3 linked regions of the Canis lupus familiaris genome follow. The protein of the gene in region 3 interacts with the protein of the main gene of each other region in a biochemical or structural test. Links are inferred from orthologs where the notes say so. Each region holds a gene or a part of one and is shown on either strand. Other genes may lie near its edges.

Region 1 (4,232 bases), on a different chromosome or scaffold from region 3:
CTCGGGGCGCGGCCCGGCCTGCCCCGGCGCCCGCCTCCCGTCCCGGCCGTCCGCCCGGCGCGCCGACCCTGACCCTCCTCGAGCCTCGTCTCCCGGCCTGACCCCTCCGCTGGGCCTCGCGGCGCAGGGAGCCCCCCACCGCGGGACACGGGCTCCCGCCGGTCTGCAGCGCCCCCGCCCCGGTGCACCGCCGCCCGCGGTCCTGTCGGGCAGCTCCCCGCGGAGGCCGCCGCCCCGGCCCGCGCCTCTCGCGCTCCCGCCGAGCGCCCGCGGGCGCAGCCCAGCCCCCCCAGGCCGCGGCCCACGAGGGCCTCCGGGGCCGGGCACCGCCCTCCGCGCCGCTTCCCGGAAGCCCCGCCCGGCCGCGGCCCGTGACGGGCGGGCGGGCCGGCCAACCGGCGCGGGGCGGGGCGGGCCGGGGCGGGGCGGGGGCGTGGCCCGACGGCCGCGGCCAATGGCGAGCCGCGCCTGCGTGACGGACGGGCGCGGGGCGGGGCGTGCGCGCCCTCCCCCCCGAGTGTCCGCCCGCCCGCGCCCGCAGCCCGCAGCCCGAGCCGCACCCTCCGCGGACGGAGCCCATGCGCTGGGCGAGCCGCGCGCCCCGGCCCCGGCCCCCTTCCCCGCCCCCGCCCCGGCCCCGGCCCCGGCCCCGGGGGCAGTCGCGCCAGTGAGCGGTGAGTGCGGCGGGGGCGGCGGGCGGCGGGGCGGGGCGGGGGCGGCCGGGGCTGCGGCGCCGGGCGGTGGAGGCGGCGGCGGCGGCGGGGCGCGCGGGGGCGCAGGTGAGCCGCGGGCGGGCGCTGCGGCGGGTGCGGGGTGCGAGGTGCGGGGTGCGGGGGCGCCCCGGGCGGCGGCGTCCGCGCCCTCTCCTCCGCGGGCCGCGTGCGGGGCCCCCAGGTCGCCAGGCGCGCCCCCGAGGCCCGGGCGGCGGGCGGCCTCCGCGATGCACAGCGGGCGAGCCGGGCGTTCGCACCGGAGCCCCGGGCACCGCGTCCCGAAACCTCCCAGACCGGGAGCCGGGCCGGAGGCCGCGGCCCAGCGCCGTCCCCGCGCCTACCCCGCCGGCCTGCTCCCGGGGCCGCCATCCCCGCAGCCCGCCGCTGCTCTCCTGCGAAGCTCGAGCGGCCGCGGGCCTGGGGCTCCCCCCGGGACAGGAGGGCCCGGGCCTCGCCCCCGGAGCAGCAGCTGGCGGCCGCGGGCGCTCCGCAGATGCTAGTCCGGTGCAGCGAGGCGCGGCGGGGCTCTGGCCTGCCCGGGCACGCTGCTGCACTCCGCTGTGGCAGGACCTGTTTCTGCGGGGAGGGGCGGTAATCTCAGCCTGCAGGGCCTCCGGGTCCCTCCAGTGCACGCTTTCTGCCTACCCAGCAACTTCTAATTTGGGTGCGTGGTTGGGAGATGCTCTCAGCTGTCAGCTCTCCCTGCTCTCTCGCAGCCATGAGCGCCGGCGAGGTGCCTACCCCCCCCCCCCCGCCGCCCCCCCCGCTGGAGGTGCCACAGGTGGGCGGCTGCGCCCGGTTCCCTGGTTGTGTGGGGCCTGGGGACCGGGTCGGGGCCGGGGTGGTCTGCCCCACGGGGCTGGCTCAGGGCTGAGAGCAGCTTCCTCAGCAGGTGGGACAGGAGACCTCGTTGGCGTCCTGTGCTGCGTCCCGTGAGGAGCCATGACGGAGTATAAGCTGGTGGTGGTGGGCGCTGGAGGCGTGGGCAAGAGCGCCCTGACCATCCAGCTCATCCAGAACCACTTCGTGGATGAGTACGACCCCACCATCGAGGTGAGCTCGCCCAGCCCTGAGCCTGCTGTGGGCATGTCTGCTGTGGGCTCCGCAGGAGGGCGGCCCCTGCTCGTGGGACCTGGGGGTGGCACCTGGGGACCTAGGAGGGGCTGGTGGCTGGGTGGCCCCGTCCTCGGAGGTGTGGGGCTGGGCGTTCTGAAGCACTGGCCTGCCGCAGGACTCCTATCGGAAGCAAGTGGTCATCGACGGGGAGACGTGCCTGCTGGACATCCTGGACACAGCGGGCCAGGAGGAGTACAGCGCCATGCGGGACCAGTACATGCGCACGGGGGAGGGCTTTCTCTGTGTATTTGCCATCAACAACACCAAGTCCTTTGAGGACATCCACCAGTACAGGTGAGCCTCCGGCCGGCCCTCAGAGCCACCTGTTCCTCTGCCTCTCATCGCGTTTCTCTGTCAGGGTCTCGGATGCAGCCGTGCCTGCAGCCTACCGACTGGCTCCCACCTTCCTTCTTGTAGGGAGCAGATCAAGCGAGTGAAGGACTCTGACGACGTGCCCATGGTGCTGGTGGGGAACAAGTGTGACCTGGCTGCTCGCACCGTGGAGTCCCGGCAGGCGCAGGACCTCGCCCGCAGCTACGGCATCCCCTACATCGAGACGTCAGCCAAGACGCGCCAGGTGAGCCGGCTCCCCACCCCGCAGCTAGCTGGGGACCCGCCCCGCCCCGCCCCTGCCAGGGAGCAGTGCTTATTGCCCCCTCTCCCCCGACACAGGGCAGCCGGTCTGGCTCTGGCTCCAGCTCCGGGACCCTCTGGGACCCTCCGGGACCCCCGTGACCCAGCGGCCCCTAGCGCTGTAAGTGTCCCCGGACGGCAGGGCAGCGAGGGAGGCCGGGGCCCAGGGTTTGGGCTGACACAGCTCCAGGGAGAGGCAGAGGTCCCCAGAGAGAGCTGCCCTGAGCCAGGCCGAGTGGTGACCCTGGGGCCCTGGCCCCTGCCCGCAGAAAGCCCCATGGGCCCGTGTAGGCCCTGCCCTCTTTAATGGGCTGTGGGGGACCAGGGTGGTAGGTCAGACAGGAGCGGGACCCTGGATGTTAGAGCTGGGAGCCAGACCTCGGGGCTGCCCTGTGGGGGAGCTCCTGAGGGCCAAGCCGCCTGATGGGGGGAGCCCTGGGGCTGCCTGTGTGGGGGCGGGGTGGGGAGAGGCCAGGGGGAGCTGGGATGATGCATGAGCTTGACGCTGGGGTCCCTCGGTCCCCTGCGCTGCCAGGCCCCCGGGCCGAGCCGCACGCTCAGCCAGCCCCGTCTTCCCAGGGCGTGGAGGATGCCTTCTACACGCTGGTGCGAGAGATTCGACAGCACAAGGTGCGCAAGCTGAGCCCGCCCGACGAGGGAGGCCCAGGCTGCATGAGCTGCAAGTGCCTGCTGTCCTGACGTCCCCTCCAGGGCCACGTTGGCAGCCCCGCTGGTCCTCTGTGCCCCAGGCGCACAGGCTCGGGGCGAGGAGGTGCCGGAAGCTGGGAGGAGGCGCGGAAGGAGGAAGGAGGAGGGCGAGGAAGGAAGGAAGCGCCCCCGGGGCCCGGCCAGCCCAGGCCCCCTGGACAGGGGGAGCACGGACCTCCCAGGGCGCTTTGCACAGACTGTCGTGAACTGAGGCCACGGGCCCCCCCGGCTGTCACTCTCCCCCAGTCCCGTCCTTGCCCGCGGGGCAAAGGCTGAGTCGCAGTAAATTATTTGATGGTCTTGACCCTGGCGTATGGCCGCACCTGCAAGGCACGTGGGGACGTCAGCTGTGTGTGCCTGGCGGCGCCCCTGCAGGGGCTGGTCGGGGCCGGGAGGTCCCCCCTCCTCCTCTCTGGGGGTGTCTCCACACCCCGTGCACAGAGCTCCGGGAGACGCAGAAACGAGCCGGCCGTGCATTTTCACACAACACCTTATTGAACTTGCAACAGCAAACGGGCTCAGAGCCGAGGGTGTGCGCCTTCCCCTGGGAGACCTTCCTGTCCTTAGAGGAAAGCGGGAATCCCACGGGGGTACGGGTGCTGGAGTCGCCCACTTTGGAGCCTGTGCGGACTCCGGGTGGGGGTGTGTGTCCTGAGGTTGGGGTGTTGAGAGGCGGTTCTGGGGACAGCAGAGCTGGCCTGGACCTGCGGCCCATGGGCTCCTGCTCTAGGTCCCCGCAGGGCAGCTGGACCCCGGCCTCGGGCCCACTGGGGCCGGGTGACTGACTGCTGGAGCCCCAGCACGTGGAGGAGCCTGCCTCCTGGTGTGGGTGCGGGTGGGGCCCACGGGCCTGCCCCTGCTGCCCTGCCCTGGGGTGTCCCGGGATCCCCAGGGCTGCCCTAGGTCAGTGACCTGGATCTGTGGGGCACGCCCAGGGCCCAGGAGGCCACATCCGGCTCTGAGAGGGCTCGCTCAGCCCGGGGCCAGAACGCAGGCCTGGCCAGGGCCCCGGAGCACTGGATCCCATTAGTGCTGGGCCTGGGGGGCAGTTCTCGAGTCGCC
Region 2 (4,666 bases), on a different chromosome or scaffold from region 3:
AATTCAAAGATAAGCACTGCTTTTAATGAGACAAACTTTAAAATCTGTAAGTGACTACTTCTCAGTGACTTTTACTCTCTGCTTCTTGTACATAGTCTCTCAACAGTTGTCATAAATACTGGCAACTTGTAAGACTGACAACTCAAGAGAGGAAATATTTCTTAATCAGCCGTTTCAAACTTTTTGAAATAAAGTACATTTATTTAATTTACCTCCTTTTCCCCAATAACTACATATTATTAAAAATAAGGAATGAATTACAGAAAGAATGGCAGTAAATTCACAATAATTTATCACAGGATACGTTATTCTCAATTAACGAATGTGCAGATATAAACACTATAGAAGTAGAATCCTAGTCACTGAAGACCAAGAATTATCCAAATAGGCAGTACCCCACCCTCAAAGGAAAGGTAATATGATTTTCCAAATGATAACATATTAACCGTTACCTCCTTAAGCTATTTTAGTCTTCTCACAAAGAACAGTTAGGCTACACAATTGTTATATTACAGCTCCGTGGCCTATTCTGTGCCACCTAGCCTTATGTGCTAGGCCATCATGGGAGCCTCTACAAGCATGTATCTTATCCTGTTCACTCCCACTTTTTATTCCAACAGGCCATAGGAAATGGGGAACAATGAGAAGAATCACACCAAAATGTACGCCACCTCTCTGCCTATCCTTCCCCCTCAACAATTTGGATAGCCTAGAACAGTAGTTAATCAAACTGTCATCCAAGAGAATCCAGTAGCATTACTAAAACTTTTGGGGGTCCAAGAGGTCAAAACCACACTAATAGTAACAATACTATTACTACCACAATGTTATTTACCCTTTCCACTCTTTGCACAAGTGCAGAGTTTTCCAGGCGTGATCACAATACAGTGAACACAGAACCAGATATACAGATGTCTTCTATTAAGCAATATAGTTAAAGAAATTAGCAAAAATGTGAAACAATGCCACTATTCTGTTTTGAAAAACCGTTTTCATAAAAATGCTATTATGTTACCAAGTAATAGGCTTATTATTTCTATTTTTAAATGAATTAACCAATTTTTTTAATTCTCAGTTTTAATTTGTATTAGGGTACGTATCGACACACCCCATATGGGGATCTTCAATAATTTTCAAGAGTATAAGGTGTCCTTTCAACTAAAAAGTTTGATAGCCTAGGAGATACTGTGGACAGATGCCAGACTAGAGCTTAACTGTGTGAATTCTGAGAGACACACACCTTCTGGTGTCTACCTGTTTATGCAGCCGTTGTTTCTGGGGAAGAAAAAAAAAAAAATCCCTGTATTGGATTTTAGAAACCAAATAATATTTAAATCCACTAGACAGAACTGGGTTCCCACGGAGTCTTACTGAAGATCATAGCCCAGAAAGAGCCGCCCTCACCCATAGCTACAGAGGGGTAAAGTGGGACTAGAACCCAGTGTTTTGTTACAGGAAAAAGAAAGTCACTTGAATCATAAAACTGAATTATCCTCTCATCTACAGTCTCTTAAAATCAAGTATGGCTGTGGATGTCTACAGTCTCAAAGTAAACAGTATTGATATCAACCGTATTTGGTGTCTATAGTCTATCATATGGTCGAGTCAGCACGTTGGACCTTAGTCACCTAAGAGTGACATCACTCATATGGTTGATTCTGAGATGATGATTAGGAACAGAATTTTTCCCTTTGTAATTTCTATGTAAATGATTTTTTTTCCCCACTACAAATATAACATGTATATTGTATAAAAATCAGAAAGTACCTTTCTGCTTTAACTCTTATTTTGATAAATGCCAAGACTTAAGAAGGTAGCTTAGGACTTCTGCTAGAGCATACACATGCTTAAGAGTATTTCAGGCAGTTGGCTGGGAGACTGCTACAATTAAGTCCTCTTTGCAAGTCAATTTAAAAAAACAAAAAAAAATGTGTGTGAGTGCCATTTAGTAGTACTTCTTGGGATGGGGGTCAAATTTGTGAGGACAAAGGTAATATACAAGAGACACGGGAAAGGACAAGAACAGGCAAATTAAACTTTAAGTAGGATTCTAGCTATTGCTGTCTACACTCAACTAGCAAGGAAAAAGCCCTGTTTCTGCTCTGCGGGTTTTGTGTGTGTGTGTGTGTGTGTGTGTGTGTGTGTGTGTGTGTGTGTTTTAACTTGACAAAGCAAAACAGACCTTCTGGGATTAACTTTTTCCTTTTCACGAAGTCACGGGCTTTACGTTGCAGGGTGTTGGCCACCTGTTCTTCCACCACCATCTCTACCTCCACCTCCTCCTTTGTGGCCACAGCAATGTCACAGCCCATACATGGGGGAGGGGAGCAGTCAGGAACTCGGCTGCAGATGCATTTTTTTTTTTTTTTTTCCAAACACAATAACCACCAACAGTGGTCTCCTCAGCACTTTCCTCGGCTCTTCCGAAACGTGACCTTCTCCTATTACTCCCATACCCACCCTATACTCTGAAAAGGACCACTATCCGTCCGGTCTGCGCTCGAGGGAGAAGTTTATGCCTCCGTCCTAGAGATGCTCGATGCAGCAGAGGAGGAGGCAGTAACCGAGGCAGCCGAGGGCTGGGAAGGGAGGAAGAGGTGCGGGAGCGAAGGGAGAGGGAGAGAGAGAGAGAGAGAGAGGACGAGGGGGAGGGGAGCCTGGAGAGCATCGGGAGTAACCTCCACCGCACCCGGCCGCCCCGAGGGGCAGCCCGCCCAGCCCGCGAGTTTCTCCGCACCCGGCCGCCTCCGGCCGCGGCTCTCGGGGAGGAGGAAGGAAGGGGTTCCCCGTCCAGGAAGCAGCCCCGGCGGCGGCCGCCTCCAGCCTCACCCTGCTCAGCCCCGCACCGCCCATTCCTCATTCCCCGCGTCGCCGCGTCCCCGCGCCCCCGCGCCTCCCCCTGCAGACGCCCCCGCCCCGCCCGCCCGCCCGCCCGCCGGGGCCCCGCGCCCGCGCCCGCGCCCCCTCCCCGCCCCGCCCCTCCGGGGACCCCTAATTCATTCACTCGCCGCCGGCCCCGCCCGGCGCCGGCGAGGAGGGTCGGGACCGGGGCAGGGGCCCGGGAGGGGTGGTCCGCGCCGTACCTCTCTCCCGCACCTGGGAGCCGCCGAGCCTCTGGCCCCCGCCGCCGCCTTCAGTGCCCGCGCCGCGCTAGCTCCCCGTCCGAAATGGCGGGGGCCGGGAGTACTGGCCGGGCAGCCGCCACCGCCGCCGCCGCCGCCGCCGCCGCCGCCGCCGCCGCTGTGCCTCCGCCGCCGCGGCCGCCGCCTAGGGAAATCGAGCTCCGAGCTCACCGATGGGTTCGGGGCCTGGCGGCCGCAGAGGGCAGGACCATCGATGCGCGCGGCGCTCGATTCCTCGCCAGACCGGCGTGCGGGGAGGGAGCGGCTGAGGGCGGTGTGGGAAGAGGGAAGAGAGGGAGCCCGCGAGCGCCGCCGGGGAGGAGGAGGAGGAGGAGGAGGAGGAGGAGGAGGGGAGGAGGAGGAGGGGCCGCGCCGGCGGGCGGCGGGCGGCGGGGGGCGGGGGAGCCGGGCCGGCGCAGCCTCGGCGGTCTGGGCGGCACCCACGCGGCGGCCCGCCCCGGGACTGCGGCCGCAGATCCGCACCGGCCGGGGGGCGGGGGGCGGGGGGCCTGCACGCGCCGGGAGCCCGCGGGGAGCGACCCCGCCGCACGCCCTTCGGGAGCACGCGGAGAAGCCGCGAGGAGGCCGCCGCCCGCCGCACTCGGGCGCGTTCAGTTACCGCCGGTCGAGCAAGTAAATAAACATGCGGGGAGCAACTGTGGGAGGCGACTCCGGGCACTTAGGGACCCTGACATCCGGCAGACAGCTCCCCCGCGCGGGACTAGTCCACGCCGCCGCTCGCCTGGGGGTGCACCAGCCTCCGCACCCGGGGGGCTCCCCAGCCCCAGCCCCAAGCCCGAGCGGGCGTGACACAGGCTTTCCCCGGGAGGAGGTCTGTTGCTTTTCTGTTGTTGTCTTTAGGGAGGTTTCCAAGTCATCACAGGTCGTTCTAGGCAGCGACCTCAAAGGTGCCTACTGCCCCTGACGGCACAGACCAGACAAACTGTTCAAGTAGAAGAGCCCCGTGATAGTTTAGACCTGGGAGAAGACCCCAGATTAATCGGGTAACGTGCAGGGAGTTAACACGCTCAACAACGGAGCAATTAAAACTGCTGCCATATCCCGGAGTCTGATAAACTACCTAGAAAGGTAAATTGTTGGGGTGGGTTTTAAAAGACCGAGGCCTGGGGGATCCCTGGGGAGCTCAGGGGTTTAGCGCCTGCCTTTTGGCTCAGGGCGTGATCCTGGGGTCCCGGGATCGAGTCCTGCGTCGGGCTCCCTGCATGGAGCCTGCTTCTCCCTCTGCCTGTGTCTCTGCCTCTCTCTCTATGTCTATCATGAATAAAAAAATGAAGACCGAGGCCTGGCCGACCAGCGTCTGTACCTAATAGGACCACCTAGCTGAATCTCTACTTGCAGTTCTCTCTCTCTCTCCTCTCTCTCGTCCACACCGTAAAACACGACATAACGATTGTTTTTGCATCTCAGCTATTACCTCACTTAACATAGGCCTTACACCAACTGTCACCCTTTTCTACCTCCCCCTTAATGGGCTGTTACCTGCAAGGCTTACTCTGGTCTTTTTCTCCTAGCACCTAGTAGCA
Region 3 (4,666 bases):
ACCACATTAAAGATACAATCAAATGGAAAACAAGTCCAGTGACAACCTAGCAGGACCTGCATGTTTCCACTCAGCCCTTGTCAGTCAGTAAGAAGGAAGAAGGGAGTCAGCCAACAGGAGCCCAGCACCCCCTGCATGCCAGGCCTATACAGGGCACCGCCCTCTACCCTTCCCTCAGTCTGCACCAGGGGCTCCACCTGCTTTGCAGAAGAGGAAGGGGCCCGGGACATAAAGGGCCTGCCGAAGGCCATGCAGCCATGCAGCCAGGAGCTGGGAAGCCGAGATGTGACCATAATTTCTCCCTTCTCCCATCTGCTCCTTCCCCCCTCCTTTCCTCCCCCCTCCCAGACGCTGCAGGAAGGGGTCTTTCTCTGCACCCAGTGGATCTCTACAAAATTGCAACCAGGGTGAGACAAATCTGTACCCTGTTTCTTGATGCCACATTGTAGCAAATTATTTCTGCTGGTTGCTACACAGTTGCCATGCCAACTCTACCTGCTACAGAACTCTGGGAGGGATGTTCCCACTTCCTGCTCTGGGCTGGACACCAGGCCTTGCCTGGTTTGGGGTGGGGGGATTGTCATTAAGGCAGCAGGGAGCATCTGTGGGCAGATGCCTCTTCCCATTTCATTCTTTCACGTGACACACATTTATTGAATTGTCTGTGTGGCAGGTACAGGTCCCCCCCTCATGGAGGAGACACATAAACATCTGTGTGTTCTGAGAGAACTCTGAGGGTATCTGTGGGATCGGTGCTCTTACCATGGGGCCGGCAAGAGGTGCAGAAGGGGAGGGGAGGGCCAACAGCTGGTCCAGGTGGCCGGGAGGGCCTCACTCACAGTATATTCAGAAGAGAGGCAGGAAGGGCGGGAAGGAGGGAACAGCCAGTACCAGGGCCTGAGCAGGAGATGTTTGGTTCACTCAGAACACAGCAAGACAGGGGTGTAGCCCAGTGCCGTGCAAAACAAAGGCAGAAAATCAGGGCGGGCGCAAGCGTAAAGGGTCGGCTGCCAGGACAGCTTGGGCTTGTACTCAGACGGAGGGGAGTCCCCAGGGCTATGTGCTGAGGAGGAACACACTGAGACTTGCATCTTCAAATGGGTCCCTCTGGCTGCTCATGGGGAAAGAAGCTATTGGGGAGACAGGCTGGAGGCCAGAGGCCATGCCCAAGGAGACCACACTGTTGGTCTGCAGGTCCTTGTGGGGTCCTGTGTACCCCAACACCTCCAAGTCAGCTCCCTCACCCCCAGGGAGTCCTGAAAGACCAAGGCTGCAGAACCGATCAGAGGCCAGCCCTTTTTGGACCTCAGGCCACGTCCTGTGGTTGAGAGGCAGGGATGGACTCATGGGCAGAAATCGGTCATGTGCAAACACTGCATCTGCAGGACAGCCAGACCTCTGTCTTGAGCCCTTCCCAGCTTTGTGCTCACTGACCCTGAGGAGCACACTGCAAAAGCAGAGCATGCAGGCACCCCCTATACAGAGGAGGAGATTTAAGCCACCACCCGGAGCCCAGTCACAAAGCTCTAATTTGAACTGAGCTCGGTCTATCCGGATCAAGCTTCAAGCTTCAGCCCCACGTCTAGCAGGCTCCCAAGCCTCCCAGAGCCCTGGTGGGCATCCCTGGCCTTTCCTGAACCACATCAACGAATGAATGCGGGAGGGAAGCCCTGTCCAGACTCTAGGCCTGGTGCCATTCTGCATCCCCCAACCTCCGGGCCATTGCCCATGCTGGTCCTTCTGCCTGGAACACTCTCTTTTACCTGACTCACTCTAACTTATCTTTCAGGTCATCAACCCCTCCAGGAAGGCTTCTCTGCCCAGACCAGACCCCTTCTCTCCAAGCATGTCTGCTATGCCCACGCCCCATACTTAACATGGCCCAGCCTGTGATAAGAGCTCTTTCCCTCTGGGAATGGGTCTTAGGGGAACACCACCAGAAGGAAGCAGTCACACAAACCAAAGGTTTACCTCAGCCATTATCTTTAACCAAAGGAGACCAGCCACCACTTAAGTGGGAATAGTTCATGGGATAGAAGTGTGTCCACCAACAAAACATCAGGAAAGTTGTTTCCCAGGAATTTATGGCAATGTGGGAACACCTTTGCAAAAAGGTGGAAAATATGGGAATTTAAAAACAAAACAAACAAAAAACTGTGCCCTCTAAATGCTGCCATGTGAGCATGTGGATAAAGTCCAAAGAGAACTACAGTGAAGGAGAAGTGCCACCATGTTTCTCCCTCCCCCGGTTCTAACACCCTGATGCATACTCACTCACCCATTGTCTCCACCAAATACATAGATGGCATCTTTATAGGCCACCACTGTGTGCTTGCTGCGCCTGGAAAGAAAGAATGGGTGGGCGGCAGTGAGGTCAGGACCCTCCTGGGGGCGCCCAAGGAATGAGGCTAAGCACGAGGGCTGCCGCAGAAATTAGGTAACACCTCTCGGCTGCTAAGACGGATAGAGGTCCCTAAATTCCACCAGTACCCCAGGACCCTGTATACAGACCCCTGATATTGCCGGGGGGCTCTCTGGACTCCGGGCCCCACTGCAGAGCTGCTGGGACCCCAGCTCCAGACCCACCAACACCACTTGGCCCTAGTACCTGCCCCGGGCCCCACCCCGCCCCGAGACGCCCTCTGCACACCCCCTCCGCTCCAGACATCTTCCAGGGCACCATCACTTCCTCCCCACCCCCCACTGCCAGGACCCAGGGCTGGACTCCACGCCCTGGCCTCGCCCCTGGGCCCCTCCCCGGGACCTCCCAGACACCCCCGGTCCCCAAGACCCCCTCTACTCCGCCGTACCGGGCCCCCACGAACTCGTCGCAGGGCGGGAGGCGCCGCCAACGATGCACTGTCTCGAAGGGCCCGAAGTTGAGTGTCAGGTACTCAACACTGTCAGAGCAGCTGTGGTCAAAGTCCACGCTCGGGGCTACCTTGGACCGTGCGCTGCCCGCCAGGGCCCCGGCCCCGATCGGGCCTCCCGAGCCCCCCGGCCCAGCCATCCCGGGTCCACGCCTGATCAGCCACCCGGTCCGCGGGACGTGCAGCCACCGCCCCGGGCCGCCCCGAGGGACTACATTTCCCAGGCGAGCCCTGTGCCGACCGCGCCACACTTCCGGCCTGCGCCGCTCGGCCGCCCGCCCCTCCCGGCAAACTGAGCGCTCCTCGTGAGTCCGCGGGCCGGCGCCACCCCCGGGAAGCGGGGAGCCGGTGACCCTCTGGGAAGCATTTCCCGCCCAGTACGCGCGGCCGCTGCCCCCTTCCAGGGAAGGCGGCGTCCGGTCCCCAGCCCCGTCCGGACTGCACTTCCCCGGCGCCGGCCAGGCCCACGTCTGCGGGAGAGGGGCCACACTTCCCGGCATGCCCTGTTTGCGCGGGGCTCGGCCTTGACCGTCCGCCGCCCCCGGGATCCCGGGTGGAGGGTTCCGGGCTTGCAGCGACCTAGGAGGAAGCCCTGCGCCCCCACTTCTGGCTGCCGCGTCTCCCCCGCGGTATTCCTTTTGGCTCTATGAGAGGCTCTAGATTCTCCTTCCTACTTAATGGCAGAGCCTCATTTTCTTCCCCTGCAAAATGGGGACTCAGGGAACTAGCTGCCATGAAAAGCATGGGCTCTGTCTCAGGACCCAGGCCCTACTGCCCTAGGCAGGCACATGCCCCCAAACTGCCAAGCGAGCTGCCTCTCACCCCCGAGGAAGCACTTCCCATCTCAGACGCTTGGCACGTGCTGTCCCTTCTACCTGAAGTGCCCTTCTTTCAAAATCCAGATCCAAGACACTGCTTAGAGAAGCCTTCCCTAACCCCAGGGACAGAATCAGTTGCTATCTCCTCTGAGTGTGCTCAGAGACCAAACTTCCTTGGTGTGGCGCTGAGCACCGTGTGCTTGTGCTTTCTCCCTCATGAGTGTCTGTCCAATTACAATGGAAGTCACACAGATCTGCAAATGTGTGTGTTTTAATTTTTTAAGATAATATCTAATATGTTGCAGGGTCCTGCAGGGGACCAGTCTCAAGAAAGGGAGAAGAGGATAGGCCTGTCCTGCCTGGATTGCCAGCCATCAGTGGCAGCTGAGGCCTCGGGGAGTAAGCATCTCCTGGAGGCAGCAGAAGCCTCTGGAGGTGAGCCAGGCAACCGAAGGCAAGCACTGGGAAGGCTCAGGTTCTGCCCTGGGGGATCCTGGGAAATTGGAGGTTGGCACCTGCCCCCAGGGCTTGGCCTCTGTCCCTGGTGCCCAAGCGTGCCTGCCCAAGTCTGCTGCATGCGAGCTCAGGATCCTTTCCCTGTGAGCCAGGACATGTCGCCGGTCCTGCAGGAATGAGGGGAGGAGGAGTCAGGGTAGAAGACAGCAGGTTACCCACTCAGCACCATGAACAGGTGATCCCCGAGGACAGCAGGAGGCCCGTTCTGTGCCAGGCCCTGGTGCCCAGGAGGAATGGGTACTTAGCAGAAAGGGGAAGACCATGGGGGTACAGGCTCTGGGCTGAGGTGGGAAAGGCTCAGAATGGTCGACAGGAAGGACAGAGGACCACGTACTTGCTGTGCAGCACAAACAGCCTTTTCGAAGGCAAGAGGGAGAGAGACAGAGAAGGCCGGGGAGAGAATATGTCATTCATGTTCCCTCTTGGTTCTCCATTGTTTCCAGCCTGAGGCCTACTCCTGTC

The links.
Region 1: of the proteins of LZTR1 (region 3) and HRAS, one has a biochemical effect on the other in vitro, tested with the Homo sapiens proteins (3 studies listed by BioGRID, with this or other methods). The link is inferred for Canis lupus familiaris from reciprocal best matches to the Homo sapiens genes LZTR1 and HRAS.
Region 2: the proteins of LZTR1 (region 3) and KRAS form a complex in vitro, tested with the Homo sapiens proteins (2 studies listed by BioGRID, with this or other methods). The link is inferred for Canis lupus familiaris from reciprocal best matches to the Homo sapiens genes LZTR1 and KRAS.

What each region holds. Positions count from the first base shown.
Region 1 is NC_049239.1:25,993,307-25,997,538, reverse strand, and holds HRAS (GTPase HRas), read left to right. Parts: upstream 1-1,600; 5' UTR 1,601-1,655; coding exon 1,656-1,766; intron 1,767-1,944; coding exon 1,945-2,123; intron 2,124-2,246; coding exon 2,247-2,406; intron 2,407-2,493; exon of another isoform or gene 2,494-2,501; coding exon of another isoform or gene 2,502-2,564; exon of another isoform or gene 2,565-3,041; coding exon 3,042-3,161; 3' UTR 3,162-3,474; downstream 3,475-4,232. UniProt on the Homo sapiens protein: Involved in the activation of Ras protein signal transduction. Ras proteins bind GDP/GTP and possess intrinsic GTPase activity.
Region 2 is NC_049248.1:24,280,941-24,285,606, forward strand, and holds the start of KRAS (GTPase KRas), read right to left. Parts: upstream 3,227-4,666; 5' UTR 3,084-3,226; intron 1-3,083. UniProt on the Homo sapiens protein: Ras proteins bind GDP/GTP and possess intrinsic GTPase activity. Plays an important role in the regulation of cell proliferation.
Region 3 is NC_049247.1:30,683,750-30,688,415, forward strand, and holds the start of LZTR1 (leucine-zipper-like transcriptional regulator 1), read right to left. Parts: upstream 3,094-4,666; 5' UTR 3,011-3,093; coding exon 2,811-3,010; intron 2,342-2,810; coding exon 2,279-2,341; intron 1-2,278. Other genes in the region: AIFM3 (apoptosis-inducing factor 3), read right to left, coding at 4,063-4,311, 4,539-4,559. UniProt on the Homo sapiens protein: Substrate-specific adapter of a BCR (BTB-CUL3-RBX1) E3 ubiquitin-protein ligase complex that mediates ubiquitination of Ras (K-Ras/KRAS, N-Ras/NRAS and H-Ras/HRAS).